Zea mays: one gene and its partners. The protein of the gene in region 3 binds, or shares a complex with, the protein of the main gene of each other region. Links are inferred from orthologs where the notes say so. Each region holds a gene or a part of one and is shown on either strand. Other genes may lie near its edges. The genes, in order: Protein TIC 55, chloroplastic-like; Protein TIC 20-v, chloroplastic; Protein TIC110, chloroplastic; tic22.

Evidence for each region.
Region 1: Protein TIC110, chloroplastic (region 3) and Protein TIC 55, chloroplastic-like share a complex: the UniProt entries of both Arabidopsis thaliana proteins name them as parts of the tic complex. The link is inferred for Zea mays from reciprocal best matches to the Arabidopsis thaliana genes TIC110 and TIC55-II.
Region 2: Protein TIC110, chloroplastic (region 3) and Protein TIC 20-v, chloroplastic share a complex: the UniProt entries of both Arabidopsis thaliana proteins name them as parts of the tic complex. The link is inferred for Zea mays from reciprocal best matches to the Arabidopsis thaliana genes TIC110 and Tic20-V.
Region 4: Protein TIC110, chloroplastic (region 3) and tic22 share a complex: the UniProt entries of both Arabidopsis thaliana proteins name them as parts of the tic complex. The link is inferred for Zea mays from reciprocal best matches to the Arabidopsis thaliana genes TIC110 and Tic22-IV.

The regions. Positions count from the first base shown.
Region 1 is NC_050100.1:221,689,025-221,697,015, reverse strand, and holds Protein TIC 55, chloroplastic-like, read right to left. Parts: upstream 4,362-7,991; 5' UTR 4,361-4,361; coding exon 3,966-4,360; intron 3,856-3,965; coding exon 3,753-3,855; intron 3,660-3,752; coding exon 2,541-3,659; 3' UTR 2,418-2,540; downstream 1-2,417. Other genes in the region: uncharacterized protein LOC100191588 precursor, read left to right, coding at 82-321, 760-871, 962-1,136, 1,423-1,660, 1,752-2,044. UniProt on the Arabidopsis thaliana protein: Involved in protein precursor import into chloroplasts. Part of the redox regulon consisting of TIC32, TIC 55 and TIC62.
Region 2 is NC_050100.1:212,571,567-212,578,684, reverse strand, and holds Protein TIC 20-v, chloroplastic, read right to left. Parts: upstream 3,492-7,118; 5' UTR 3,362-3,491; coding exon 2,717-3,361; 3' UTR 2,325-2,716; downstream 1-2,324. Other genes in the region: uncharacterized protein LOC100279738, read left to right, coding at 139-208, 1,052-1,144, 1,280-1,318, 1,440-1,617, 1,718-1,853, 1,935-2,061, 2,184-2,261; solute carrier family 35 member F2, read right to left, coding at 4,528-4,533, 4,794-4,859, 5,635-5,717, 5,820-5,874, 6,357-7,118. UniProt on the Arabidopsis thaliana protein: May be involved in protein precursor import into chloroplasts. Not redundant with TIC20-I, TIC20-II or TIC20-IV.
Region 3 is NC_050096.1:234,057,373-234,065,569, reverse strand, and holds the start of Protein TIC110, chloroplastic, read right to left. Parts: upstream 4,272-8,197; 5' UTR 4,163-4,271; coding exon 3,648-4,162; intron 3,127-3,647; coding exon 3,067-3,126; intron 1,131-3,066; coding exon 1,007-1,130; intron 896-1,006; coding exon 827-895; intron 743-826; coding exon 644-742; intron 365-643; coding exon 298-364; intron 90-297; coding exon 25-89; intron 1-24. UniProt on the Arabidopsis thaliana protein: Involved in protein precursor import into chloroplasts. Forms a voltage-dependent cation-selective channel at the inner envelope of chloroplasts, which specifically responds to a transit peptide.
Region 4 is NC_050104.1:9,247,013-9,255,104, reverse strand, and holds the start of tic22, read right to left. Parts: upstream 4,715-8,092; 5' UTR 4,561-4,714; coding exon 4,159-4,560; intron 4,073-4,158; coding exon 4,010-4,072; intron 2,757-4,009; coding exon 2,682-2,756; intron 1,567-2,681; coding exon 1,522-1,566; intron 413-1,521; coding exon 353-412; intron 275-352; coding exon 203-274; intron 126-202; coding exon 90-125; intron 1-89. UniProt on the Arabidopsis thaliana protein: Involved in protein precursor import into chloroplasts. Imported into the intermembrane space via the Toc translocon. May be involved in the import pathway used by proteins without a cleavable N-terminal pre-sequence.

The DNA of each region.
Region 1 (7,991 bases), on a different chromosome or scaffold from region 3:
TCCCCCCTACTTTCCCTCGGTTCGATTCGTCGGTTCAGTTCATCGAAACATTCATCGAGACCTCTCTCTCTGTTTCCGCAGGGATTAACCACTTCCACAAGACCCCCGACCGCGAGTGGTTCGAGACCGACGCGGTGCTCAGGGTCAGCCTCGGCAACTTCCTCTTCTTCACCATCCTCGCCGTCATCATGGCCGGGATAAAGGACCAGAAGGACCCCCGTGACAAGATCCACCACGGCGGATGGATGGCCAAGATCTTCTGCTGGGTCATCATCGTCTTCCTCATGTTCTTCGTGCCCAACGGGGTCGTCAGCTTCTATGGTGAGCTAACTCCCTTTCCTTCTATTTGTCAGACCATTTGATTCATATTGCGATCACAAATAGAAACCTTTTTATTTGAACGCATAGTTGATAGATACTTGACATATCATGATGGCACTAATCTTTTTTGAGAAACAAACAACCCCTTTCATGAAGTTTTTTTTGAGTTCCGTGAGGCTCATAAGAAAATTAAGGAGATTTCTGATTCAGAATTTATGCAATTCTCGACTTGTAGACTTACTGGGCGTGTGCAATGGATAAACCCAATTGGTAGTCAGCTGTTTTTACTTGTAGACTTACTACATTTGTCGAGTTCCCTGAACATTTAGTAATTAGTTACTGCTTTGCTGTTGTTGGTCATTCATGTACTTTGTTATGTATCCCGTCATTTGTGTGTCAGCTGTGTTTGGAATTCTTACTACAATTCTACTTCTGCAGAATCTATATCCAAGTTTGGCTCTGGGCTGTTCCTTCTCGTTCAGGTTGTTCTGCTGTTGGATTTTGTGCACGGATGGAATGAGAACTGGGTCGCCAAGGATGAGCAGTTCTGGTTGGTTGCTTGCTGATGCTATTTCCTATACTTGCTTGGGCTCCCATTGGTGTTTTTTTTTGTATTATTTATGCTCTTTTGTCGCTGCAGGTACATGGCTCTGTTGGTTGTCTCGGTTGTCTGTTACATTGCCACGTTCTGTTTCTCGGGTCTCCTATTTCACTGGTTCACTCCATCTGGACATGACTGCGGACTCAACCTGTTTTTCATTGTCTTCACGTTGATTCTTGTTTTTGCGTTTGCTATTGTTGCCCTGCACCCAAAGGTACCATCATGTAGCCTGTTTTTCTCCGTTTTACTGATTTTGCATTTGTTTATATTACTTGATTTGACCAGAAACCGTTGCTTGATAAGTTATACTGGATGGGTTTGGGGTTTGGGGCAGTATTATACTTGCAACTCTAGATTATTGGGTTGGTTTGATTGTTTTAGATTCCATCTTGGCCATCGTATGACCATGCTTTCCAAAAACTATGTCTATACATTTCCCTTGAATGTAACTATCTTTTTTGTGCTAAATAATGCTGAACTTTGAAGTTTCTGATTTTCAGATCAATGGAAGCTTGTTGCCTGCATCAGTTATTGGTATGTACTGTACATATCTGTGCTACAGTGGACTCTCCAGTGAGCCAAGGGATTACGAATGCAATGGGCTTCACAATCACTCAAAAGCTGTGTCAACTGGTAGCCTTACATTGGGACTCCTTACCACGGTCCTCTCTGTGGTCTATTCTGCTGTCCGCGCTGGCTCCTCTGCAACTGTGCTCTCGCCACCAGACTCACCACGTGGTTAGATTGCGTTCTGTGGCTAATGAGCTAGTTTTGCAAATATTGGGTTTGCATCGTTAATTATGATACCTTTTTCCCTTTTACCTTCCAGGGACCGACAAGCCATTGCTTCCCTTCAGCAAGGCAGACGAACAAGAAGATAAGAAGGATGTGCCGAGGCCGGTGACATACTCCTACTCTTTCTTTCACCTCATCTTCTCCCTGGCCAGCATGTACTCGGCAATGCTCTTGACTGGCTGGTCAACTTCGGTTGGTGAGAGCGGAAAGCTTGTGGATGTTGGGTGGCCATCTGTCTGGGTCAGGATTGCAACCCAGTGGGCGACGGCAGGTCTGTTCATATGGTCGCTTGTTGCACCCGTCCTCTTTCCCGACAGGGAATTCTAAGTTCAACCACGGTAAGCCTGGAGCATCAAACGTGTCTACTGTGGTAGCTAATATATCCTATCAAGTATGTTGCCTTTAAAACATGCTCCGAGTCGGTGTTTGCCCACTGTTATCAAGTTTGTCTACTTAATAACATGTGACTTTAGGCATTGTGCCACTATCTTAACAGTGAACGTGTGCTGCTTGTATTGTGTATATACTGGAGAATTTTAAGAATGCTTCGTGCGAGCGTGTTGTGTATCGATTGCTTGGTGGCTGTGTCTGCGGACTTAAATCTTTTGCTATGTTGATTATCTTCTAATTCTGAGTTTGTGCTGCAGTAGTAAAAAAACTAACCGGTAAGGTAACCAACCTAATCAGTTGCTGCTGACATGCAAAACGTTACTGCAAATATACAAAATACAACAGCCGCAGGCCAGCAGCTACGGTGATACAAATGTACAGAACGTTCCCCGCCGGCCATTACCTAAATATACAGTGGCCAGTACCACATTAATTACAGTCTCCTGTGTGTCCTGATGAAGTTGGTGGTGATCAAAGAAAGCACCGCGTCACACGCATAGGATGCGGCGGCTAGCACGGCCGACGCCGCCACCAAGACGGCCTTCCACTGTCTCGTCGCCGCCAGGATGGCGGCCGATAGGGCCGCCGCCGCGAGGGCCGCGAACACGGTCTTCAACGAGGTGTACTTTTTGACGGTTGCCCTGCAACCCTTGCAGTGCACGACGTGGCGGAAGTACCTGTTGGTCGGGTTGGGCGCGTGCACCATGCCGACGCCGCCCTTGGCCGGGAACGAGGCCGAGATCCCCGCGACGGCCCCTGCGGGCGCCTGCTCCACGACGGCCGGCACGGGCGGCGGCGACAGGGTGCTGTGGCCGAAGTAGTAGGGCATGCCGTGGCCCGCCCTGTCCATCCACTTCCTGTACTCGGCGACCCAGGTGTCGGAGGAGCGGAGGTTGAGGTAGAGCTCCCTGGTGGGCAGCTTCTCCCGGAGCAGCACCTCGTTCTGCGACGACAGGAACCCCATGTCCTGCTCGAACACCTTGCACGCGTTCTGGTGGAAGTACCAGGACGGGAGCACCTTGGCGAGCGGCGACCTGAGGGTGGAGCCGAAGCGCACGAGGAGCATGGACTTGCCCTGCCCGGCGGGGCGGCAGAGGAAGTGCGCGGAGAAGCACTGCTCCCTGCCGTCCTTGTCGGCGAACTCTAGCGTGTTGGTGAGCACGCAGGGGGCCTCGAAGCGCAGAAGGTTGCGGAGGTGCGGCGTGCCGGTGCGGCCCCAGTAGCCCGCGAAGCCGCGGGGCGTGCGCTCGGTGACGTCGAAGAAGAGCGGCTGCGCGTCCTCGCGCTTGGCCGTCCAGTCGGTGCGGTCGTGGGAGATGGGCACGTGCGCGGGGTCCATGAGGTTCTCCAGCAGGATGGAGTGGTCGTAGGGGAGCTCGTGCACCGTCGACAGGTCCGTGAACCCCGCCCGCGCGTACGGCTCGAACCACGGCAGCTTCCCTTCGTCGGGAGGGTTGGCGTCCGACATCCACACCCACACCACGCCCTGCGAGTCGCGCACCTCGTAGTTGCGCGCGCACGCGCTGCGCGGGATCTTGGCGCCCTCGGGCAGCTGCAGTGCAGGCACGGACCCATCACATCACCCATCCATGCTCTCGCCGCGTAGGGTAGGGGCGTCAGTAAGAAAGGTGGGAGAGAGAGAGACCTGTGGTATCTTGACGCACTTGCCGTCGCCGTCGAACTGCCAGCCATGGTAGAGGCACTCCAGCTTGCCGTCCACGATCTGCCCTTCCGATAGCTTCGCTAACCTGATCGATCGGTAAGCATTTTGGGAGCAATTAATCGTGTTTCAGCTGCTGGTTCTCGACCAAACCAATCGTTGCACGCACACAAGAGTGGACCGGCCGGAGGATCTCACCTGTGAGGGCACCGGTCCTCGTGGCAGCGGAGCACGCCGTGGGCGTCGCGCCAGAGCACGAGCTGGCGGTCGAAGACGGTGAGCGGGAGCGCCGCGTCGTCGGGCACCTCCTTGGCCAGGTACAGCGGGTACCACTCCTCCCTCCAGTCGTAGCGCCCCGCCGCCGCGTCCGGGGCCTCCTCCCCCTCCCCCTCCCCCTCCCCCTCCTTGGGCAGCAGCACCCCGGCTTCCTCCACCACCGCCGCCCGGCACCTCCTTCTGCCCCCACCTCCCTCCCACCGTGCCGCCGCCGCAGCCGCGGGGCTCTTAGGACGTCGTCGAGCCACTGGAACAGCGGCAGCGGAGACGCGGAGGAGAGATGCCAGTGGCGCTGGTGCGGTAGAGGGCGTTGTCATGTTCGGTCCCACGACGTTTGGTTGGCCGAGAGCGCTCGATCTCTGCGGCCTCACCGGATAAAAACCTTACGAGTCACCTACGACTACGAGCGCAAGTGTGCAACGCACACGGCAGATGGCGGCTCCAGCTTTCTGCCACCTAGTCTACTACTATAGCGTCCCGGTTCCAGACTCCCACACTTGCCGTGATCTCTCGTGTGTCACTCTCGTCCAAGTGTGACCGATTGACGGACTAGTATATCGCGAGATTTTTTTGCGTGTGCATGAACTAGCTTACACTGGTCAGCTATAATAATATCTCGTTTGGATCTATCCAAATTGTTATTTATTTGCGTAAAATTAGCTTGTCAATTTAAACGTACAAGACTCTCGAGAGCAAGACTCTGTAAATGCTCCTGTACGCTAAATTTAACGTGCGCAATCTGCTTTTCGTTCTCAAGGTCCGCTAAAGGACCCGCTAAAGTAGCGGACCACTAACGCGCACAACAGATGTAGAGTGTTCCGTTGTGTCGGCTATGTGCACCGTCTTGTGTAGAGAGACTACAGGTCGGCTGTGCACGCCGCGACAAAGTAGCACATCAGCCAGCACCTCCCAACTTGCATCCACGGTAGAAGAGGACGACGAGGCGCACGGCGACCGGATGTGCAACAAACACGACCTTGGATGACGTAGGCGCATAGGACCTGTAACTCGATCTTTCTCTCTTCGCACTCCTCCCTTGTTTGTTGCTATGCTTCTCCCCCACCTCGGCGCAGCACAAGTCCATCCTCTGTGTTGCCGGAGATGAGATAGGTGATCCTGGACACGGCGCTCCGTGTGGAGTGCTTCTCAACCCGCATCTAGGGGCATGGGAGATACTGGGTGGATGGATGGAGTACAACGGTGGAGGTGGGGTGTCGGAGAAGAAAGACAATGTTGCAGAGAATGAAATTTAGAGGATGTTGTTGGAGATGATAAAGATATAGAGGATGAAATTTTCTAGAGTGTGTTCTAAAGGATAGAGAATATTCTTTTAGATGGCAAAAATTAGAGCACGTTGTTGGAGGTCATACATAGAGGTGAACTAGGGACCACTAGCCTAGAACTCATGAGAACCGAATAGTAAGGGAGAGCTAGAAGATCATGACGCTTAGTTGATATCTGAGCTTGTATTCTTCTTCACCTATGTGTTCGTCAAACCATCGTACTTAAAGAGGACATATGGTATCATCTTGTGGCCTAGCCCTTTATAAAATGACTATGTGCTACACCTAGGATCAATGCGCCTATAGATTATGCTCCTTGCTCTGTCCATAAACTTTCTTCGTGTCTTTTGGTTGCTTATGGTACTGTAATGTTGTACCATGACGACACTTAGTGCACCAGGTATTGGGTGCTTGCCATCATTGAACTATGTAGTAGTTCTCTAACAGATAATAAGTCTTCTTTTCTCAAGTGTATTACGAGAAATTTGGGCCCACCAGCAAGCCTCATAGGTCTATGGTTGACTTGGGGACCTCTATTAGCGCATGGGGAAGGTCACACTCTAGATGAAGATGCCTTCTAAGGATCTCGATAAAAGTAATCGAGAGCCTGACTAACTCCAGACATGTGCCCCTAGAGACCCACCCTAATGGACCTCATCTTGAGCCCCTGAACCCGTGAGGTTGTCCTAGCCACTCCCGTCCATCATAATTGGCATGACCAGGGCCCCTAAGGCCTCAGGATCTTTCTATACTTTGAGGCATTCCCAAGCTTCTAGAGTTCTCTCGCTCACCTAGGCCCCATAGAGGCCTCCCTAAATATTTCATGACCTCGACCTTAGAGTTATGACTAATAGCCAGGTCCTAGGGTCCTTCATATGAAAAATAATGCTCCGACTCAGTTGTATGGGAGCACCTACAGAACAAAGAATATGGCAGCCTATCCTTAGAGTAGGGAAGTCCTCAAAGGTATAACACTCGTACTATGTTAAAGTCTACTCCAAACGACTTGTGTTACTAATGGTTTGGAAAGGTATCTCGTTCACCACATTAAATGTGTTGGTTGATATTGTAGTAAAGTATGCGCACTATTCCCACGAGATAGACACTAGACATACTCAAGACCACTATTCGGTACATGACGTAGACATCGGGCATACTTAAGACCACTATTTGATATATGCCATCATTCTTGTAGACATGTCTCCATATGTTAGTGTACCAGCAAGCATTAAAAAATATAGACTGCTACATCTGTTACCAACTACATCATACCCAACAACATGGACTCTGATACCCATCGCTATGACAAGTCATAACTACCTCTATGATACGACTTATCTATAACCGCAATATGACATCCTCAGCATCGTGGCACGATCAAGGCATGCAACCATTTAGTACTCCATGACTACGATGAGATAATTGTTGTTGACCTGTATTGAACTAGGTCATAACCCAGTAGGCATATAAATGGAGGAGTATAGAAACATGGAAGGGAGATGGAATGATCCGGTTGATTCATTCGGGTTCAATTCAGTTAGAACAGCTATGACTCATTCAAAGGTGCTAGAGGGCACGCATAGAGACATAGAGGTAAACTAGAGACCATTAGCCTAGAATTCTCACCAAAACCAATGAGAAGAGTTAAGAGGTTATGAGACTTATTTGATATCTAATTTTGTAATCTTATTCACCTCTATGTTCATTGAGCTACTAAAGTTAAAGAGAGCGTTCACATTACGTATCTTGCGACCTGAACCTTTATACAATGTCAATGTGCTACTAATCAGGATGCACCTAAAATCGGTGTGGCTCTACCCTACGCCCCTCGCTCTGCCCATAATTTTTATCTGTGGTGTCGTACGACGTCTACAACTCACTAGGTACATAGTTGTTGTTATATACCTAGATATACGATATACTGAGCTACAAAATAGAAATATATGTATCGTAAAAAGCCAAACGACCAATAAAATAAGCAAAGAAAAGCCAAAGGGACCTATAAATTTGGACAAAGCGAGTAGTGCACTAGTGTTCCCTCTCTATATCGAATCAACTAATGTATTGCGAAAAATACTTTTATTATTCCACTTATCTTTATATATCCATGTGTCCTACCATTAGCGAGTTAAACAGAGAGTATTAGTCAAGAACATCAATGGCACATCTAGATATTGTATCCTAAAACACTAAGGGGCTGGTTTGGTGACCAGAGAAACAAAAAGAATCTATAGGGGCTCATGGATCCCCTTAATTTCACTGATCACTAAATCAGTTCTAAATTAATTAACAATTACCTATCAATTATTAGTTAGCTAGTTTTTTAGCATATGTATTTTATTTTAGTATGATTTTCTTTCTTTACGCATGTATCTCTCTCTCTCTTCTTCTTGTTTTCTCATTTTCCGTACACTATATACTTTTATTGTTTGTTAATTCTCATGTCCGAACGACCAAACCTAAGTAAGGACCTGTTTGGAACCACCTTTTAAGAAATTGGTTTATGGAAACCGAGATAGTTTTAAACATATCAGTTTATGTCCCAGTTTATAAAAATTGGATTCATGGTTTTTGAAAACAAAAAAACTAGTCTTTTCTAGCTAAAAAAATGATTTCGTAAAAAATGAGTTGATTTTAAACAGGACCTAGATAATGAAAAAAAACA
Region 2 (7,118 bases), on a different chromosome or scaffold from region 3:
TCACGGCATGAACTTGTCATCAACACGCAAATCTTGAATTCTACTTCTGTTGCCGAACAGCAGCAGATAGATACATGAGATGCGATATATATGGGAGATGCATTTTAACGAGTATGTGTGTATATGCCTCTGGTTTAGGTTGGAAATACTTCGGGAACTCCTGCCGCACGGTGACCAGAAGAGGGACAAGGCATCTTTCCTTCTTGAGGTAAATAGATCGCCAACCTTTCTACAACAGCCAGCCGCCGGTAACCAGAGATCTCATAATGCTGCACTTAGAGCATCTCCAACAAGGTCTAAAATAAAGCTCTAAAAGTTAAAAATATAATCATATTTAAAATGTTTAGGACCTCAATAAAACATTTTACTCCAACAGTTAGGCTTTAAATAATGCTATTTAGAAAATAAATCACGTTATTAGAAAATAAATAGTTGTAGATTAAGAGGAAAGAAGGTTAGGGTTCTAACATATGGGGTACTATATTTAGGGTCCGAGAGACCGAACTCTATAATCGTTTGATGATTTTTTATAAAATAGGACTAAATGTTTTATGATTTTTTTTTTGCGAAAGAGCCTCTAGCTGAGTTGGTTAGGTGGTCTGAGTAGCACTCCTCAGGTCCTAGGTTCGACTCCCCGTGGGAGCGAATTTTAGGCTGTGGTTAAAAAAATCCACTCGTCTGTCCCACGACAAAGCACAGGTCTAAGGCTCAGCCCCGGTCGTGGTCGTTCTCACATGGGCTTCGATGCCGCAGGTCAAGTTTTTTTTGTTTTATGATTTTTTGAGCCCTATATTTTAAAATACAATTTCTTATTTAGGGCTCCTCTTGAGATGCTCTTATAACATTGAAATGCCCCCTTTGGTCCCAGTTTTGGGTGCAATATCCTCCATGTTGCTTGTTCAATGATACGCAAACACATAACACGAACCAGAACGAAAATATAATACTAAAAAATATTTCAATGTAACATGATCTCAGCAACTGGGGAGACCGGAATCCTGATCAGCACGTTACAGCAAGTATTTTAGCATGTGGAACATTTTGCTCGCAGGTTATTGAATACATAAGGTTCTTGCAAGAGAAGGTCCAAAAGTACGAGTCAGCCCAACCAGAAAAGAATCACGAGGACTCCTCCATGCCATGGGTACTAACATAGCCACGTTATCACGTTCATCGCAGTACTGCACAATAATCATGCACATATTTTACTATATAACACAAAAAAAAGGGCTGCATTTGGATTTTAACTCACTTGTCCACTATTTTTTCCCCTTGCTAGGCAAAAGTTTACTACAGATCATGCTGGAAAAACACAGAGGTAATTCCACACGCGCGTGCACACACACATACCAAAGAAAAAAGGAATGCCACATGGAAGCATGGAGCCCATGATATATCAATGATAACAAATTTCTTTGTTCTTTTTCATGGTCTCGCAGAATATCATCCAAGGAGGAGGATTAGCACCTTCCACGAAAGATGAGAACAAAGAACAGTATGATTCCAAGCAAACTACGGTGGCATCGTCTGCTCTCTTTGACACACAAAGTGCTAGAGAAACTAGTGCAAACGATATTTCCTCCCAAAAGGCAACAAGCAAAGCAAAATGCAGGGCAGGTAAGTTCCCAATTTCCTTCTTTCGTTGCATTACCACCTTTCAATTGCTAAGATCATGGCAAGAAATTGATTTACTAAGGCTAATAGCTTTAAAATGCAGACAACAGCGTACCTGGCAAACAGCCACCATGGTTGAGCATGTCAACCTCTGATGCAGACAACAAAACACTGAGCAAGAACGAGAAACAAACTCTCCAAGAGGATACTCAAAGTCTTTCTGATGCTTACTCTCAAGGGTTTGTTCCGAAACTACTGTTGTTTATGATGGTAATTTTGCTATATCTGCAACTAACAAGAGAAAACATTATTTACATCAGGCTTCTAAATAGATTGACACAAGCTCTAAAAAGGTCGGGAGTAGACCCATCTCAAGCTAGTATATCTGTAGAGATCAGTATGGACAGAAGAGCAACAGAACCTAATAATATACATGACAATTTGAAGGTAATAACAGCACATGAAAGTATATCAGCACGTTAATGCTTGCAAAGTTGCTAGACTTATGTCATGGCTTATTCACAGAATCAGCCATTTCTTTACCACTTCTTTTTAACCTTACCTGACAGGATCATGAATGTGAAGATATTATACATGTGACCAAGAAGCTTCGGGGCGAGAGAAGCAAGATCTCCAGCTCAAACTGAAATTCAAACTGTGGCGACAAGCCGACAACAGACCAGGACTTTGTCGACGAAATTGACAATTGATGGAATGCTCTTATTTATATTGAAATCACAATTACTGACCTAAGCCTCCATTCAGGTACAAAGGAAGCTGCTCAGGGGAGGGTAGTCATAAAGCTCCCCAATTCAGACATTCCTCCTCATTTGTAAATGCAATTCAGATTGTAAAACAGTGTACATGTACTGCTCTCTCAAAATTTGTCAATTCAACAAATATGGTAGTATTGCAACGTTTTTGTATCAACCTTCCACAGTACATGCATTCAATCGGCAACTAGACCTATATAAACAGCAAGGCAATTGTAAATTATACTAAGCTTGTGATTTGCTGCAAGCGCCAACGAACCATTGGGATGTTTTCTGCATATCATCAGATTCCCTTTCCATCAACATGGTCCGCAGGAAACGAATTGTAGTCACATCACCTGGCGCTCCGCTGCATCTGCGACAATGGGCAGACGTGGTGTCTTCCCGAGCAGGCAGGCGCCACCGCCGTACACCAAGGAGACGAGCAGGAAGAGGAAGACCGTGCTCTCCATGCTCTGGAAGATCTCGAACCCAACCCCACCGGAGGGCGCGAACGACTGCGCGAGCAGGTCGGGAAAGATGAGCAGCACGTCGAGCACGACGGCCTGCATCGCGTTGAAGCGGACGAAGCGGGAGAACGCCTGCTGGTTCCGCACAACGGCGAAGTAGAGCGTGAGGAAGAGGAGGAAGGGCGTGAGCGGCGATGAGTGGAAGAGCCGAGCCGCGGGGGCCAGCGGGCGGAGCAGCGCGCCGAAGAAGGGGAACTGCGTGAGAAGGAAGCGCCCGTGGTGCGCGCCGTCGAGGAACGGGTATAGGTAGGCGACCGCGGCCACGAGGCGGTCGGGCGCCTCCACGGCCCCGCTGTTGTCGTTTTTGTTGGAGGCGCGCGGCGCGGGGGCCAGGAGCCGACGAGGGGTCGCGTTGTTGGGGGCGGCGAGGAGGACCCGCCGGTGCGGGATGCTGAGGAGGCGGGATGTGCCGTCGCGGTGGAGCAGGCGCGGGGGCGAGAGGAGAAGCGAAACGGCGGATGCCATGTGATCCTCTGCTCGGTGCGGTCGAGGAGTGGAGATTTTTTGGGTGAGTGGCCTTGTGGGGGGCGGCCAAAGCGAGGCGTTTGGGTGAGGGGTTGAGGGCAAGGCAGTGGCGCCGCGCGGCTGCTGGCTGCTTGCCCCCTCCGCGCGGGTGGGAGCCTGGGAGCGGAGATTTTTGTGGAGCTCCGGGGGATGTGGGTAGCCGAGTGGGAGACGAGGAGATTGGTTGGTGGTGCCTGCTTCTGCCTGCCTGCCTGCTTGGTGCAGTGCCAGTGCGGGCCGTGCTGCTGCGGCGTCGCGGGGGAGGAAGGACGGGCGCGTGGGCGACGCGCGGTGAGCCTCACGTGGGCCGCCATGCCGGCCGGCATGCGCTCGCGCCTTGCAGCGTGGCCCGCTGTGGCCCGCCACGGAAAAAATTGGGATTCATCGTTTTGAGAGGATTCGTCTGAATATCATTATAAAACATGTCATCCACGTTATGATATCATTTGATCGTTTAATAAATCGGAAAAGAAATATATATATTATATATATAGCGACATTGAGGGTCAATTTTATAGGGAGACGAACATCAGCGACCAAAGTGAATGCACGAACAACAACAGAGGCAAATCATCCCTCAATGTCTATAATATATTTATTATTTTCATTTTTTAAACAATCAAATGATATTATAGCATATGCGGCATGTTTCATAATAGCAAAGTAGTGATGCCTCTCAAAACGATTTCCACTCCGGGAGAGCTGACCCGGGCGGAATAACCACTCCTACATTTTCCTCATAAAAAAGGACACTCAGTCTATTTGGTTCACGGCTAACTATGTCACAATTTATTTAATATTAATCGTTTGAATTGAAGAACTAAGCTTAGACATAAAAAATAGATAAAACGGTTAACTATGTCATAATTTGTTTAATGTTAATTATTTGAATCGAAGAACTAAGCTTAGACATAAAAAATAGATAAAATATGGTAAGTTGGACAGCAAATCAAACCGCCGTCAAACTTCCACCCTATTTCTTTGCATAACTGCGGCGTCAAAATACTCAGCAAGATACTCACCACCAGGTTACAACGACAGATTGACAGGATCATCGACACTGACCAAATCGGGTTCATTCGAGGCAGATCGATCACAGAGAGCTTCATCTACACTTTTGAACTTGTTCAGACCTGCCACAAAAGGAAAACACCACACCAGTCCTAGTGATCAAATTATACTTTGCCAAGGCTTCGACACCGTGAATTGGGAAGCTCTCTGAAGGACCATGGCAGAGAGAGGCTTCCCTGACCGATGGAGATCCTGGATCGCCGAGATCCTCTCCACCTCAAGCTCTGGAAATCTCCTCCACGGTTGCCTACTTGCCTCGACCCATGGTTCCCATGCAAGAAAGGCCTGAGGCAGAGCGACCCGATCTCACCACTCACCTTACCAGTTCCTGCCAGTGGAAGATGTCCTTCAGGTTCTCATCAAGAAAAACGGGGAAGTCCGCCACCCACTGTCAAATGACAAAACCGGGGGCCGGTAATCCAATATGCAAATATGATACACTCATTGCCACATATGCTTCCCTCTCTAGTGTCACCTAGCTCCGGATGATCCTTGACACTTTTGCCCAAGCAACAGGTCTTTGCATCAACTACGATGAGAGCACCCTTGTTCCCATTCATGTTGACCCACAACATCAAGCCGGTCAATTCACCTCGATCCTGCAGTGCGGTGCCAAGTTGGAAGGCTTCCCCCAAACTTACTTTGGCCTCCCTCTGTCAAGAGCAAACTAGGATAGCATGCAGAAACTCCTCCCGCGTGATCACCACTATGAGAGAGCATCGGGAATGGTAGGACAACTTGCTTCCGCCTTGATGATTAGATGGATAGTGGTCCGATCACAGACAGCTTCCCCTCCCTTGCAAGCCATGCAACGAATATGGAAACCACTGTCAGGCAAGTGCTGCTTGATGGGCTTGGATCAGCACCTCAAACCACGCCTGAGCACAACCTCAAAGACAGGAGCTTGCCACCCTCCAGAACACCCTCCACGACATCTCTCTCACACAACAAAATGATAAAAGACTAAGCCCACTGATTGACATAGAAGGGATCCTAAAAACCGGTATGCTCTACAAGCTGATCAATCAATGACTACCTCCAACTTTGATAATCCAGACTTCGTGTGAAGCTCTTTCTCTCCTAAAGTTTAAGTTCTTTGTGTGGATCCTCATATAAGGAAAGGTTAACCACAAAAAGAACCTTGTCAAGAAAGGGATGATTACCAGCGTCGTGTGTGACCTTGGCTCTGTCAGGCAGATGAAGATTACGACCACATTATCTTCAAGTGTCTGATTGCTTCCTCCTTCTGGCACAACATATATAGGAGTGCACAACATCGACAACCTAACGACGTCCAAGCCATGGGAAGTCATCCCCCTCCCCCCGATCACCAATCACACTAGAATACCTTCATACACCTTTATTGTTGGATGCTCTGGAAAAACCGGCATCCCCTTCCTGTCCTAGCAAGCATGTGCGTGAAGAAGGAGACACAGACATAGGGGATGACATCTGGAACCTATATTAGGGGCAATAATGACAATTTTTTTGAGCTAAGGGTATCCTTCTAGCCAAACATCTCCTCCGCTCCACGTGAAGGTTGCTCCAGCTTAAGTTGTCAAGTGGAGCAGAAATTTGTGGAAAAGCTAGAGCTCATAGCGAAATCTAGATGGTAGAGTTGTCACTACGGATGTCACCCCAGCGACGCGGGGACCTCGATATTCATCACTGCTGACGGTGTCCTTGTTAGCACACCGATCACAGGCGGATTGGAGAAGAGAAAGAGGTAGGCGAGAGAGATAGCTTGGGTTGGGAATGAGACAACAGAGAGCTCCGTTGTATTCAGTTTCTCCGTAATTTCATCCCCCTGCCCAAAGCAGCTATCGTACTTATACTACGACATATGTTCCACGGACCAGTGACTCAGGGACGCAGCCCCACATACCAGAGACTCATTCATCTTTCCTAACATTCCCCTCTTCTTAAAATTCGGCTTGCCCTCAAGCCGATGTGTAGCATTACTTCCACCAGGATCCCAGGAAAATTGCAAGCACTGACCAAAAGTAACAGGAACTTGTGCTGTGTTGTTTGCCGCTGCAGCCTCCTCATCCATGGCATGTGTAACTCGTGCTGTCTCTCTAGTATTCTGCCTTGAGCCCCTGTATGAGTATATCACAAAGCCAGTTGCTGTGCCAACAAAAGAAATGAAGTACATCACATCAACCTTCTCTTGGTAAGCGATTGTACGCATTAGAACAGCCCACATATCAGCAGTCCAGTGAGTCGATCTGAGCTCTTTTTGTTTGAATATGCTTATCTGTATACCATTTATAATTGCTCTAAAAACACCTAGCATTGCCATCACCTCAACTCTGGTGCTTTCGTGGACAAAGTACTCCTTGGTAACCCTGCTGAAGGCATGAAGCATGGAGCCTCCAATGACAAGCAAATCACCTGTTAGAAAGTTGAGTCCTTTTTCTCGACCGAAAGCATGTACATCCGAAAATAAGACCAAAATTAGCCTAGCCACGCAAACTCCCACACCCAATAAATTCCTCAGCCCATACTTTGCCTTCAGGAAGATCCAACTGCACACAATGACACATGGAACCGACCAGCAATTCCGCAGCATCACACTGGTTAAGGACGTGTACTGATAAGCCGACACAACGATGTAATGAACTTCCACATCAATGATGTCAAGAAG
Region 3 (8,197 bases):
CAACAGAGTTGAGAAAAGAGTTACCTCATCAGAAAGTTTATATGCAAGTTGTGCTCTCCTTACTTCAATGAGTGTGCCTATGTCAAGACCTAAACCGAGAGCATTTTGTGATTTCAGAATGTTCTTGAGATGCAATAAGAGATATATCAAACAATAAATATAACAACAACAAAATTGATATTGCTGTCTTTACAGCACACTATATGATTTACTTGATAAAGCAAAACTTATGAATAATATGACACTATGACTTTATAATTGAACTAACACCTAAACAAAACTGTGTTCTAGCATTACCTCTTCCAATAGACTTGAGCTGCACCGAGTATAAATTCTTGGCATTTTCCCTCATAGCAATGTCAATCTAGAAACATAATGTCAAATGATACTTAATACCATGGTAAGTAAAGAAAGACATTCTTATTTGGACTGTGAGTAGTGGCATTAACACTTGATGAACATTTGTCCAAACTCTTCGAAATATCAACTGCATCAAAAGCAGCATAACAACTATGCAAAGAGCAACGTTGCCAGAAAAAACGAACTGAACTTCAAAATACAGAACAAATAACTCTGTGAGATCAAAGCATAAAACTGAGAGAAGGCATGCAAAAAATTAACAAGCATTTTTATAATTAATTACCTGAGAATCAGTCACCCCAAACAGACGTTTCCAAGGAAGTAGGAATACAGATGCATCTCCAAAGACAAGATTGGACACATAAATTAACTTCTGAAATGCCTGCAAAAAATTCGACATGGTTATAACATGGGCCAACAGGAAGTTCCAAACATCTCATTCATATATCAAAGCATAGACACTTGCCCGTCTTTGTTCCATGTCAGCATCACGATCACTCGTTTCCAACCTCTCTCTGTATATGCGTCTACCAATCTAGTACAACAATCAAAGAGGAAAATGTACCTTATTGGCATAAAACATAGAGAATGTGGGAAACAAAGACGAAAACAATAAGAGCATAGGAGATAGATCGGGAGGCAATACCTCCATGTGCATGTTAGCAGCATCTACATCATCAAGCCCAAGAGCACTTTTAAATTTTATAATTGCCTGAACCTCTGTACCTTTGAGATCTTCATCTCCTGGAGGAAGTACTGAGTAAAGATACCTGCATAAAAGCATGGTCAGGAAAAGGATGACCAAATAACTGCCCATCTGATCTAGATGCTAATACATGACTACATGAGTATTGTATACATGAGTTCAGTTGTACCCAGGCAAGATTGTTGACATCCATCCACGAAACTGAAAGGCTGTCATTAAAAGTTGGAGACACCACCCAAATGCACAAATACAAATTCCACAACCAACACCACCAAACAAGCTTGGTATTTGCTTGTGTTGTGCATATTAGCTCTGGCCACAGAAGGCAATTTATGAGGAATATGTTGGATTGATGGTTCGTTAGTAGGTAGCTCACTAGGCATGTGAATTGCCCTGTACAGAGAACAACAGTTTGTTCCCTAACCGGACCAGCTGACCCCACATTGTGTTACTATCCACTTATCCCTCCCCGCTCCTTCCCCTAACTGACCCAGGCAAACAAGAAAGCTAGCTGCCACAACATGGGCATGATGGCACATGGACATGCAGGTGGCCGTGACGAGCGCATGACTTGACAACCACCACTCACTGGTATGCTAGCCTCAGCTAGTGCACCAGTGTTATCAACCCATCCGATTAGTCATCCCAATCAGTATCCTGGACTTGACTAGGGGCTACGACTCATTTAGGTCAAGTAGTTTTCTTGTCATCCGATTAGTCATCTGACTAAGAGGTGGATGACCAGAAACATAATGGAATTGCCAAACAGCTTAGGACATAGGCTGCAACTGGGATAGCATAATTCACTAAGGCCCGTATTGTTTAACCCAATTTGCAGGCCTACATGCAGCCACCACCCTAGAGTTATCTTCCTGCTTGATTTATACTCCAGACATATAGTACATCAGTACATATTTGGTATATTAGTTTAGTCCTGATATATATAGGACGACTAGGACCAACTAGTCACCTGGTTGGTCCCATGGCGACTAAGATCAACTAGATGACTTGATAACATTGTAGTGCACTGACAATGACAAGCTGTTACTGACGCTTTTGTGGGCTGCCAATATCAAAAGCGTCGGCGCCAGGATCCAGCCCAAGAAGTAGCAGGCGCAAGACAGGAAAGTAATCAAGGGGCAGCAGGCGGAAAACAGGAAAGTGACCAACAACGTGGCTAGAAATCGAGTTAGTTGGAAAGTTTTATTCTAGGGAGATATGCATTAGTTTACTTCCAAAATAAGTTATTCAGTTCCTATTTTTGTGGCTGCCTCATACTATAAAGGCAGACCCTAGTTTGTATTAGGAGATCATCGAGGAATGAAGTCTCCCTGGAGTTCGGCAGGACTACCTCGGTCATCGTGGCTCGGCAAGCTGCCAGCCGTGGTGATGAAGTCCGCCAAACTAGCCACTGTTCCTACCCCTTGCGATCTGTCCCTGGTTACCATGCCGTTTCTTCAGTAAACACAAGAAGACACCGAACAACAAAGTGTATGTTCTGGTTTGAGGCAAAAACTCTGGGTTTTCTATTCAGAAAACTGAAATTTTGCTCACCAAATATACAAACCCAAAACACCAAATAAACTGAGTGGCCGGCTGACTGCGCCTAATAGCAATAATTTATTTGCTTGCCTGGGTCCCTTAATATAGATTAAAAAAACAGAGACCAATTGCTTCTTAATATATAGTCAATAGTATGATTACATCTAGAGGATTATGGTTATTCCTTTTTCCTGCAATTGTTTGCAGAAACCTTCGTGCCTCCAACTAGTGTAGTATGCAGGGGGCAACAGGTAGTGAGTAGTGAGTAGCACAACACTAGTTATGCCCATGGTTATCAAGTTGGTAGGACGAAGCGGGGCGATTGAGATTTACTACCACCTTACGCTTATAAGCGACTAAAGCGTGAGGTGAGGTGACACCTTAAGAATTTAAGAAAACTTAATGCACACAAGCACATGTGCCAGCTGGGGAAAAAACAAGAGCACCGAGAAGCACACCTGGCATACAAGTCACAGAGCTCTGCTTTGAAGGCGTCATCCTGTGTGCTAACTCCATATCTAAAATTAAAATTGCACATTATAAGAATATATGAAGAGGAGCAACAGCAACATCAATAATTAGCCTCCAAAAGAGATAACGGGAACTGATTATGCAATTTAGATTCCCAAGAAACCAAAAAAAAACTTACAAATATGGAAATTGTATATAACTTCTTTTAACATACATGTAACTAGCTAAACCAAAATTTACTTGCATTCCAACAATCAATGGGACTATGGGGGAACCAAATAAACAAGCGTGCAAGAATTATTGGAAATGGAGTGGGGAGACAAGTGCGTATCACAATAAAAGGCTGAGCTAATCACAGTACTATATTATGTCTGCAAGTACTAATATTTAGTTCATGAGCAAAATAAAAACCTCAACTAAGGGGCACTTCATTGGATCCAGGTAGCTCACTACCAAATATAAGAATAACGTCAATGCTGCAACAAGACTACCAGGAGGCAACACAGCAGTAGCTCGAACCATTTCACCAATAAACTCAATGCTGCAACAAGACACGAGAGCTACTCACTTCTTCGCGATTGCCTCCACCTCGCCGTTGTCCAGGTTGGTGGGGTCGTCGTGGCCCGCGACGTAATTGTGCAGCCCCACGGCGGCGACCTCTGGGACCACGGAGTTCACCGCAGCTGCTCCCGCCACGCTGGCCGCGCAGAGCACTGCCGCCCCCGCCACCGCCACGGCGCGCGACCCGCCACCCGCGCGGAGCCCGATGCCGTATCCCGCCGCCACGGCTGCCGCGGCGACGGCCAGTTCCGCCGCCGTCCGCGCTGCGGGCGGCAGCGCCTCCACCAGCGGCTGGATGCCCGTTAGCTCCCGCCGCGCGCCGAACACCTCCTCGCCAGGGGAAGTCTCGCCCGCGTCAGCGGCAGCCGCGCGGAGCCGGAGCCGGAGCCGCAGCGCCGCCGCTGCGGTCCTCCGCGGCGGGAAGCGGAGGAGCGGGAATGGTTTAAGCGGCGAGAAGATAAGTGGCGGGAAGGCCCCCGCCGCCCGAGGCGAGGGCTTCGCGGAGGCGAGCGCCAGCTCCATGCCCGGTAGAGATCCCTGCTGCCTCTGCGGACGGGGGTGGGGACACCTCCTCCTCGGCGGCGGCAGGGCCGGTGGGGTAGGGTGGGATGTGATGGATTGGGGAGGGTGGCGGACGAGGTGGAAGAGGAGGGGGGCGCGGCGAGGGCAGCGGATAGCGTTGGGATGGGGTGGGGGATTGGTGCGGCGGGGCGAGGGGCGGCTGGACCAACACAAGGGTTTGCCTTGCCGCTTGCGCGGGCGCGGCCGTGATCCCTCGCCTATTTCAGACGTTTTCTCCTCTCGTTCCGTGGTACATGGTCGACTGCTCGCTTTGCTGGCTCCTGGCCTGGCTGCGGTCGCGCGCCACGACTGGGAACATGGCCGTACTCACGGAACTCAATGCCTTAAAATTAAAATCTGTTGTTCTACTACTATATATATAATAATATACCGTGATTTCGGATCATAATAATAATAATAATGGTTGCTGTGCGTTTCTTTATCTTTAACAAATTTAACAAAAATAAATATCTCTTGTGTTCGTTTACCAGATCGCGGAGATCAGCATGTGATTGTCCATTTGTCCTTACTAAACCAAAACAAAGGCAGGTCGCTTCTCCTTCTGAACTTATCTCACGTCCTAGGTCATCCTTCGACAGTCGGCCAATAAAGCCCAATAAGTAATAATTCTCACCACGGACGCAGACGCATGCACCGCAGTCCACACTAAGGCTATCTCTAGCCAAGCATGAATAGACATGTTTTTGCACTATAGATTGTATTATTTATATAGTAGAGTTTAAAATAGTGAGTGAAATAGAAAATGAGATAGATAAGCTGCTAGATATAGCTTGAGCAACTCCAAAGTCTTTAAAAAATCTCCCCTAAAACTATGTATTAAGGGTTTTCCTAAAATTGTTTTCCCCTCAAAATGGTATCATCTCACAACAGTTCCCCAGTACATTAGAGTTGATTGAGTTGCCTCGGAACTCATCATGTGATCAGCTTATGTTATTCTGAATACCTGAACACAATATTATCTTCCAAACACAATCATATTTCGTGCTTGACGAATGAGGTTTAGTATTCCATTTGTGCTCAACAAAAACAAGCATCGCTTATTGTGTTAACTGCAAGTTACTGAATAGAAAGCATCAGTAATCTACAAGTGTTAATGATAATTTTTTAGTCAAGCCATCGGTTATTCTAGGAAGACACACATTGATTTTGGACTGACTACCTCTTTTTTTTAAAAAATCTAGACCTGATTATCATCGTATTCTCATGTTATTGTGTTCCCAGTTTCATGGTAAGAATCGTAGCAATGACTACAACACTCCATGAATATATGATAGATACAGTATAGTTAGGGACTAGAGTAACTAAGCATTAGATTCATACCAGCATGTTCAAAGGCTGCATAGGGGGGCGCTGCAAGGGTATTGCTCCACCAGTGAATCTGAATCTTCGCCGCCAGGGCTGCCATCGGAGGACATGGAGGTCCTTGTCAGCGGCAGCGCTCTGGAAACTTAGGGGGTGTTTGGTTTGAGGAATTACTCCATCCAAAATGTGGTGGTGCATTATGGATTCATTTCTCAAATTTGGTAGGATGATTTTATTCCTTATATTAGTACTAATTAAATAATTATAAGGAATAAGGTGATGGTGGATCAACTCAATCCATTCCACAAACCAAACAAAAAAGTGAGGAGTGAAAATATAATGAACTAGCTCATTACTCAAATCAAACAGCTTATTAGTAAATGCTGATCCATTAGTGTAGGTGCCGGTGAAGGCAGCGACGGCCCTGAGGGGAGGCGCGCGGGGCGGTCGCCCCGGGCCCCCCGCGATGATGGGCCCCACCCCTGAGACTATATAACTAGGATATGGAAACAAATCGGCAAGTAGCAGATCACGGAAAGGAGGAAGGAGCGGATCACGGAAAAAGATAGGAAGCAGAAACAGAAACGCCGCCAGGAAGCCCAGAAGCAGAGCAGATCGCGTTCCGGCGTTCGCTTCATTAACTTGCCTCTGCCTCCGTTCATCGCCTCAGGGCTATCGCCGGCAGCCGCGACCCACGTCCTCCTGGACTCCTCGTCTCCTCCCGCAGCCCCGCACCATCGCGGCCTCGCGGGCTCGCGGCGCAGACGCGCAGTGACGGCGCCCAAACCCCAAGAAACGGCGACTGCCGACCCAGCAGCAGAGAGAAGAGAGAAACGGCAATTCGGCAAAAGGGAAAAGGAACGCCGACCCAGCAGCCATATTTTATTATCAGCTCTTGCTCTTCGTTCGATGTAAGCCAGACACTTGTCGAAATTTCTGTACTAAGTACTCCATAATCAGTAATAATTCTTTAAGTTTATTATTGTAACTAATCAATAGCTTTAATTCATAATTTTATTTTTTTAATTTCAGCATATAGTCATGTCATCTAGAAAGTATCCATCCGGTTCTGAGAAAAGAAAGAGGAAGAAACGAGCAGATGAGTTCATAGAAACACAGAGAGGAGCTATGGACAAATTTTTTCCTAGTAATTCAAGAACTTCAAGGAATCAAAATGAGATGGCTGTAGTTGCTATAGAGGAGCAACCTGATAATAACCCAGAAGATCAGGGCTTTACACCAGAAGAAAATATTGACACCGATAGGAATGATAACAATGTGAGTGATCATGAGCCTATGGTTAATTCACCTCCTACAGAAAATGCTAGTGTTGATGAACAACCTGTTTTTACTGAAGATATCTATGATCCAAGAAATTGGGATAATCTTGATAACAAGTCGAGGGACATATTAGTAGAGAAGGGACCCATCAGAGATGAAAATATTGAATTTCCTTTGGATACCAATGGCAGACATTTTTCATATACTCATTACTCTAGAAAGATGAGCAATGGAGAAGTTTATTATAGAAAGTGGTTGGTATATTCTAAACACGTTGATAGAGTGTTTTGTTTTTCATGCAAGCTTTTCAATACAGAAAACTGCAAGAGTTCATTGGGTCATGAGGGGTTCAGAGATTGGAGGCATATTAATGAGAGGTTGAAAGAACATGAGGGTAGTATACAACATATTATAAGCATGAACTCTTGGAATGAACTGAGGGTGAGGCTTGGTAAGCATGAAACAATTGACAAAAACATTCAGCAACAAATCACAAAGGAGAAAGAGCGTATCAGGCAAGTTTTACAAAGAATAATTGTTGTTGTGAAATTTCTTGGTAAGCGGAATTTAGCTTTTAGAGGACCAAGTGAGCAACTTTACAATGATCAAAATGGTAATTTCTTAGCTTGTGTTGAGATGATTGCTGAATTTGATTTGATTATGCAAGATCACCTCAGACGTATTCAAAACAATGAGATTCATTATCACTATCTTAGTCATAAAATTCAGAATGAGTTGATTTCTCTTTTGGCTTCTAACATCACTAAATCTATCATAAACACTGTTAAAGAGGCCAAATATTTTTCAGTTATCCTTGATTGTACCCCTGATGTTAGTCATCAAGAACAAATGAGTTTGTTGATCCGATGTGTTAACATGTCTACTCGTAAAGTTGAGGAGTATTTTTTGGGTTTCATGAAGGTAGATGATACATCCGGTGAGGGACTTTTTAATTCATTACTTGATTCCATTAAGTCCTTTGGCCTAAATATTGAAGATGTTCGGGGTCAAGGTTATGATAATGGATCTAACATGAAAGGAAAACACAAGGGCGTGCAAAGACGACTGCTTGATATAAATCCAAGAGCTTTATTTATGCCATGTGCTTGTCATAGTCTTAATCTTACACTTTGTGACATGGCTAAATCTTGTGGCAAAGCTATTTCATTTTTTGGGATTGTGCAACGAGTATATACATTGTTCTCTAGTTCTACTAAAAGATGGGATGTTTTGAAGGATCATGTTGAAAGCTTAACTGTGAAGTCATGGTGCAATACTCGTTGGGAGAGTCGGATTAAAAGTGTCAAAGCAATAAGATTTCAAGCTCCTCAGATAAGGTCAGCTTTGCTTCAGTTGAGTACCGATAAGGATACCGAACCAAAGGATAGGAGT
Region 4 (8,092 bases), on a different chromosome or scaffold from region 3:
TGCAGAATCAAATAGCATAATGGTAAGAGCTGCTGAACTAGTAAAACTGTACAAGCAATATCCATTCTGCCATTTTATATCCATCCTACCTCCATTTTCTTCAGGACATCCTCCAAACTTCCAACCTGGAAGATAGACACAGAAGAGTTAAATTAGTTTCATTAGAGATTTGCATGAGCTATAACTGAACATAACTACATACCATAATTTTCTTAGATAAGGCTGACCCTCTTGAACCTTTGGAAGCCCTTGTAAGTTCTCTTTCTATGTCTTCCTGAACAACGAGGTAAGTGGTAAGAACCTAATCAAGGTCTAAGAAACACTACATGATATAAAATGCAGCCTGGCAAACCTTTTGAAAATATACTGGACAGTAGCGCTTCTTCTGCTTCTTCACAACCAGCAGATCTGACTGCACAGCACTTGGAACATTTTCATTGCAGCAATAAATGATTCAAAGTACCAATGAGGAACATGAACCCCCAAAATAACACAAGTCTAGTGTACAAACATTAGAATAGTATATAACTAAATGGAACTGCACAACAAACTCAAAAGTTAAGTGTGGAGTGGAGCATCTACCAGAAAAAGATAGACACCATTCTGCTGAAGCTGAAGCTGGAGTGTACAATGTATGAAACTCTAATCAGCTTGGCAATTACTTTATCTACACTAATGCAACAAGTGCAGTTTGATTCATTGTGGTTTGTATGAATTTTCACTTTATCTTGGTAGTTTTTTGCGGTGTGGTCACTTTTTTATGCCGGAAACCACATACAGTTTATATTAATGAAGAAAAAGGGTTATGATGTCGCCTTCCTTAAAAGCTCCAGACGATAGAAAATAAAATGAACTCCAAAAAAGGGGGAAACAGTGGATTTTGGTTGGGGACAGCACAGCATGACTATTTGACTACACAGCTTCACAAGATGAGACTTTAATAGTGAGAACAGAATGGACATTCCCCTTCTTCTTAATATAAAGATGCGCAGCTCTCCTGCGTTTTTCGAAAAAAAAAGAGAACAGAATGGACATACAATTAATTTTCACAATAAAAATAGGGATGGGCAAGTAAATCTAAACAGCTTCAATTTTTTCATACCTTTTCTTCTAGAGCCTATCCATAATATATTAGATTTGGAAATAGCTAAATGCATTAGTGATTCTTAGATCCAAGGCATCAATCAACAATTTGCCGGTTGTCCTAAATTTTACCAAAAGAGGAATTACTGGTATTTGCTTAATCAAGAAAACCTTATACTAATTGATAGGATGTGTCTCCATATACAAAGGTATGGAGGTAGCGCCTAAGGTTACACTTAATTTGTGGTACAGATGAAGGGTTTCCTTGTGGCCATCCTAGTGAATTAATACATGCGAGTATTTGACTGAGTTTAGCATGCATAACAAGAACTACTCATCGCATCAAATTGACACGCACATGACTCACAAGAAACTAAAATTGAATGTCAATATGGAAAGTAAAATATATTATTAGAGTGGCCAAATCAGGGACATTACCTGAAAAACAGGAACACCATCAAAAGCAGTTAAGCCCGATTTCATCTGGAAAATAAAAAGGGTAATACATGTCACAAGGATGAAGAAACCTTTTTTCTTCGTACTTGAAGAATAATCAAGGGGGTTGTAATGATCTACATATTCTATATGCAAGACTTAGCTTGTTCTACAGACAACAGTATGTGTTACCTAAACTTAACTAAAGACAAAAGTATGTGTTACTTAAACTTTAGATTTACAAATGTGCACTGTGGAGAATCATTGCAGGTCATTAGGCCAACAAGTCCATCCAGGAAAAAGAACAGAAAGATTCACCACCTACCACTATGGTAAGAACTAACACTTCACATGTTCTATGTCCACATGTCTAGGATTCACGCATTATGGTGAAGGACTGAAGGCATACAAAAAACCAGCAGACACGCTGATAGCGTAGTAGTTGAGAAACCAAAGGGGCGGAGCTCTCAACCAGGGTTCAATCCCTCGTGCTGCATGGTTGTGTGCCCACTTCCCTGGTTGAAACAATGTAGTTCCACGGCTGCCAAATAAGCGTGCGCACATGAGGTATTGAGGTTCCTGCCTGTTCCCAGGTTCGGTGGGCCTCTTTTTAAGACTGAAGTCAAGGGGACGTCTCTCCCCTTGATCAACTCTTTTTTTACATACAATAAGCCACAAATGTACAGACCTTGTGACCAAATTATTGGGATTGCTCAAAGTAACAAAAATCTCTTCAAACATATGTTTTCTTTGAAATGTTGGAACATGTTAAACCAATAGCTATGGGTATGCATTTTGCCAAGTCAAACAATTTATGTAGAGTTTCTGCATGCACTAGAGGAATATTGCTAATACACTAGTAATTAAATGATTGGCCACCGTCAAACCATTGCAAGCCAATGATATCCAAGAAGGTCAATATTATGGCATTTAACTACATGATATGGAGAAATGGACACACATGTTTCATCCCTGTATTTGTAATAAAATAACAAGTAATTATTAAAAAAATCATTGCATTGCTGCTTTCAAGAGCATTTGCAGTCTGACTGATGCATCTCAATTATGCTCACATCATAGAGAGAGGAGGGAGTAGAATATAAATAGGTCCATGTACAAGATAATAGAGCAAAGAGCGGGAAAAAAACTATTAAAGAGCAGACCTCCAGTGCATTCTTTATTTGAAGAGGGTCGGGTAAGAACCTAAATGCGATACCTTCAGCCTTTAACATATAGACCTACATAGAAGAGCAAAGTTATGAGGTATATATGTTTGCATTATAAAACATATAATAGAGTCAAGGTTATTAAAATGGTAAAACGTTGGAACGCTCATGGGTGAATTTTTGACTTTTAAACGTTTAAACTTTGTTTAAACGTAGTTTTAAACAACACAGGAAAAATACCAATACATCATAATTTCAGCAATAATATGAAGTTAAATACTAAAATAGAGAGGTTAGTGGCTTACCAAAACTTCACCCATGAGCTGGATTGAACCTCAAAAGTAACTAATAGAATGAGCCCAAAAATAGCTAATGGTCTAAAATGCATAAAGCACTGCGTTTTACAGTTTAGAACGCCAAAACGCTAAAACGTGGTTTCAATCTCTAATTAGAGTTTTGACGTTTAAACGTAGTTTTTATAACACTGAATAGAGTATCAGTCAGGTTCAAGATAAACACAATGTCTATGCATGCACTAAACAACCAAAGCTGCAGTGGCGTCAACCAAGCTTAATGCATCATGAAAGCATGAACAAGATAAGCTAATAAGCAGTGTTATTAAAACTACGTTTAAACGATGTTTGAACTACGTTTAAACGTCAAAACTCTAATTAGAGGTTGAAACCACGTTTTAGCGTTTTGACGTTCTAAACTGTAAAACGCAGTGTTTTATGCATTTTAGACCATTAGCTACTTTTGGGCCCAGTCTATTAGTTACTTTTGAGGTTCAATCCAGCTCATGGGTGAAGTTTTGGTAAGCCACTAATCTCTATATTTTGGTATTTAACTGCATATTATTGTCTGAAATTATGATGTATTGGTATTTTTCCTGTGTTGTTTAAAACTACGTTTAAACAAAGTTTAAACGTTTAAAAGACAAAATTTGACCCATGAGCGTTCCAACGTTTTACCGTTTTAATAACCTTGCTAATAAGTAATTGGCTACCTAAATCATGACAGCGTACACAATTCCTGGCCAATAAGCCTGATAGAACTAGTTTGAAAAGACTCTTTTCGCTGTGCAATTTAGTTAAAAGTCTTACCTCTCACCTTGCTAATAAGTTAAGATACCTAATTACTGGACTGGCTTTCGTACTTCAAAACGAAACATAAAAACCTTACAGAACCCACAATTCAAAGAAAAAAAATGTTCATCAAGTATTGACATGATCAATGACAAGACATACAGAATCAAACCAACCTGATCAAGTGTAAATACAGAATGAAACCAACCTGATCAAGTGTAAATACAGAATGAAACCAACCTGATCAAGTGTAATAGGCACCACTTTTGCCCCCTTGCCTAGCACCGGTTGCCGCGTCCTCACCTAAACCACACAAACCTCCCGAACAATTAGTGAAAAATCCAAAACCGGAGCCCAAAGCAAACAGGTGGCGAGAGAGCGGGGAATACATGCGACAGGAGGGCGTCGGCGTCCTCCGAACGGAAGCAGAGGAGGCCGAGGGAGCGGAGGCCGGTGGCAGGGTCGGAGACAAGCACGAACTCGTTGCTGGAGTTGCAGACAGTGAAGACGGGAGTGCCGGTAAGAGCGCGCGCGACCTCATCGGGCGCGAGAGAGAGAGATAGGGAGGCGCCCTGGGGGCCCGGCGTGCGCGCAGCCGCGGCAGCGAGGGCGGGGCGCGGGACGTTCAGGTGGGAAGCCAAACGGGAGAGGTGGTGCTGTAGGAAGGAGGCGGTGGCTACGAGCGGGTTTGGAAGCGGCGACGCAGCGAAGGGGAAGGGGGTCGGTTCGGACATGGGCGCAGCGGCGAGGGGAAGGGAGGAGCACGTGGAGATGGAGTCCGGTGGCGCCATCGCGTGGGTTGCGGCGGCGGTGGTGGCGTGGCGTGCGAGGCTCCTTATTGGTCGGCGGCGTCGACGAGAACGGCCTGGCGCGGGGGCGATTCGGTTGAGCCCAACCCCAAGTGCAGAGTTGCGGATTGCGGCCCGCTGAAGCTGATATTCAACTGACGTGTATTGGAGTGATTACGAGAGTATCTAAACAATTTGTTGACGCCTTTTCGGAGCGTCAAACACCTAATAAGAACCGTGGCGGTGCTCTCTAGTCAGGCGCGGACGGTCTGCGGCCTGGGACCGGACGGTTCGTGACCTGGCGCAGGGCTAGGGTCTTCTGCCTGACGGCCGGACGGTCCGCGCCCTGGGGGCGGACGATCCGCGCGTACGCAGGGGCGGCGGAAGTCGCCGGCAGCGACCTGGATCTCGCTCCCGGGAGGGACCCCGTCGGGGAGGAGAGATCCTAGGTGATGTCTAGGCTCGGCAGGCCGACCTAGACTCTTCTAATCAGCGTAGAGTCGAAGAGAAGCGGGAATTTAGAGATCGAGAGGCTAAACCTAAACTAGACTAGAACTACTCTTAGGATAAAATGCGAAATAGAAGTGTTTGATTCGATTGATGATGATTACAAATCGGCCGTATATCTCTCTTTTTATAGAGGGGGGCTGGACCCTTTACACGACTAGATTCCGAGCTAATTCCGCGGATCTAGCTAACAAACATAGCACAAAACTCGGAACCCTAATCTACTCTGCGCATGCGCGGACCGTCCGGCCCACAAGCGCGGACTGTGCGGACCGCGGACTGTCCGGCCTCAGGGCCGGACCGTCCGCGTGCTCATTTTGGTGCCAAACATATGCCCTCCTGCCTTTTGGTGGAGCTAGGCAAACCAAAAGCACCTTAGTCCGATGTGATCACATCGGTTTTCTTAAGCATCTTGCCACATACTAGGATGGTACTGCTTGAGGAAACGCCCATTCAAAGCTTTGGGTAAATCCTTGCCTTGCAATGTTTGTAGTAAATAGGTGTTACCAGATATTACCTGTTTTACTTTATAAGGACCTTCCCAGCTTGGCGACCATTTTCCAAACTTCCGGTCTTTATTCCTTAGAGGCAGGATGGTCTTCCACACCAGGTCCCCTACTTAAAATGACTTTGCTTTGACCTTCTTGTTGTAGGCCCTGGCTACCATGATCTTATCCTTTTCTATTGCTCCCAAAGCTATCACCCTCTTGTCGGTCACCTCATCAATATTATCCATCATTGAATTGTAATAATCAGTGATGGTTAGATCATTTTGTCTGGCGAACCTGACAGCATTCAAACTTATTTCCACAGGCAACACTGCTTCCTGCCCATAGACAAGCTCAAAAGGAGACACTTTAGTAGCACTATGTTTAGATATCATGTGAGCCCATAAAGCTTCGGACAAAATCTTATGTCAATGCTTAGGATTATCCAATATCTTCTTTTTTATCAAGTTAATCAATGTCCTATTACTAGACTCGGCCTGTCCATTGGCCTGAGCATAATATGGAGATGAATTAAGCAATTTAATTCTATATAATTCAGCAAACTCACGTACCTTCTTTGACATAAAAGAAGTCCCTTGATCTGTAGTCAAGGTCTGGGGAATGCCGAATCTATGAATAATATGTTCAGTTATGAACTCAATTACCTCCTTGTGCGTCATGTTCTTCAGAGCAACGGCTTCAGTCCATTTGGTGAAATAATCAGTGGCAACTAACACGAACCGATGCCCCTTTGATGATGAAGGATGAATTTCCCCAATAAAGTCTAATCCCCATCCTCTGAAAGGCCAAGGCTTGATGATAGGATGCAATTCGGCTGCAGGGACCAACTGTAGGTCGCCGAATTTTTGACACACTTGGCAACCCTTGTAGTACTTGAAACAATCAGCTATCATATTAGGCCAATAAAAACCAGACCTTCGCAACAGCCACTTCATCTTTGGAGCCGATTGATGGGTACCACAAATTTCTTCATGTACTTCGGCCATGGCTAATATAGCATCATTTGGGCCCAAGCACTTAAGCAGGACGTCGTTGACTGTTCGGCGGTAGAGTTCATCACTCATCAAAACATACTTGAAAGTTGTACGCCGAATGTTCTTATCTGTCCTAACGTTGGGATTTCGTAAATAATTAGTTATGGGCGTCCTCCAATCTCCTGCATCGGCTTCATTATCAGCCGAATCGATTAGGAGAACTTCCCTGGTAACCCCGGACGGTCCGGCGTCATCATGCGGACGGTCCGCGACCTGGGGATTTGGCTCTGCACTGGTTATCAGATTTTCAGTATTGTGAAATTTCCCTCTCTTTATCCGATAACCTGATGCATCTTGTGCCAAATTGTTAGCTCTATGATTCTCAACTCTAGAGATATGCCGAATACTGAATTCGTCAAAAGAATGGATTATGCTCCAACATTTTTCAAGGTAACTGATAGTCGCCTAGAGGGGGGGTGAATAGGGCAAAACTGAAATTTACAAAATTAATCACAACTAAAAGCCGGGTTAGCGTTAGAAATAATAACGAGTCCGAGAGAGAGGGCGCAAAACAAATCGCAAGCAAATGAAGAGTGTGACACGCGGATTTGTTTTACCGAGGTTCGGTTCTCGCAAACCTACTCCCCGTTGAGGAGGCCACAAAGGCCGGGTCTCTTTCAACCCTTCCCTCTCTCAAACGGTCCCTCGGACCGAGTGAGCTTCTCTTCTCAAATCAAAACCGGGAACAAAACTTCCCCGCAAGGGCCACCACACAATTGGTGCCTCTTGCCTTGATTACAATGGAGTTTTGATCACAAGAACAAGTGAGAAAGAAAAGAAGCAATCCAAGCGCAAGAGCTCAAAAGAACACGGCAAATCTCTCTCGCTAATCACTAAAGCCTCGTGTGGAATTGGAGAGGATTTGATCTCTTTGGTGTGTCTAGAATTGAATGCCTAGCTCTTGTAAGTGGTTGAGAAGTGGAAAACTTGGATGCAATGAATGGTGGGTGGTTGGGGGTATTTATAGCCCCAACCACCAAACTAGCCGTTTGGTGGGGCTGTCTGTCGCATGGTGCACCGGACAGTCCGGTGCACACCGGACATGTCCGGTGCGCCAGCCACGTCACCAAAACCGTTGGGTTCCGACCGTTGGAGTTCTGACTGCTGGGCCCGCCTGGATGTCCGGTGGCACACCGGACATGTACTGTAGAGTGTCCGGTGCGCCAGTATGGGCGTGCCTGACGTCTGCGAGTACTGGCACGCATTAATTGCTGTTGCAGGCGACCGTTGGCGCGAAGTAGCAGTTGCTTCGATGTCACACCGGACAGTCCGGTGCACACCGGACATGTCCGGTGAATTATAGTGGACTAGCCGTTGGAGATTCCTGAAGCTGGCGAGTTCCTGAGGCGCCGTTCCTTGGAGCACCGGACACTGTCCGGTGTACACCAGACAGTCCGGTGAATTATAGCGGAGCGCCTCTGGATTTTCCCGAAGGTGACGAGTTTGAGTTGGAGTCCTCTGGTGCACCGGACATTGTCCGGTGGT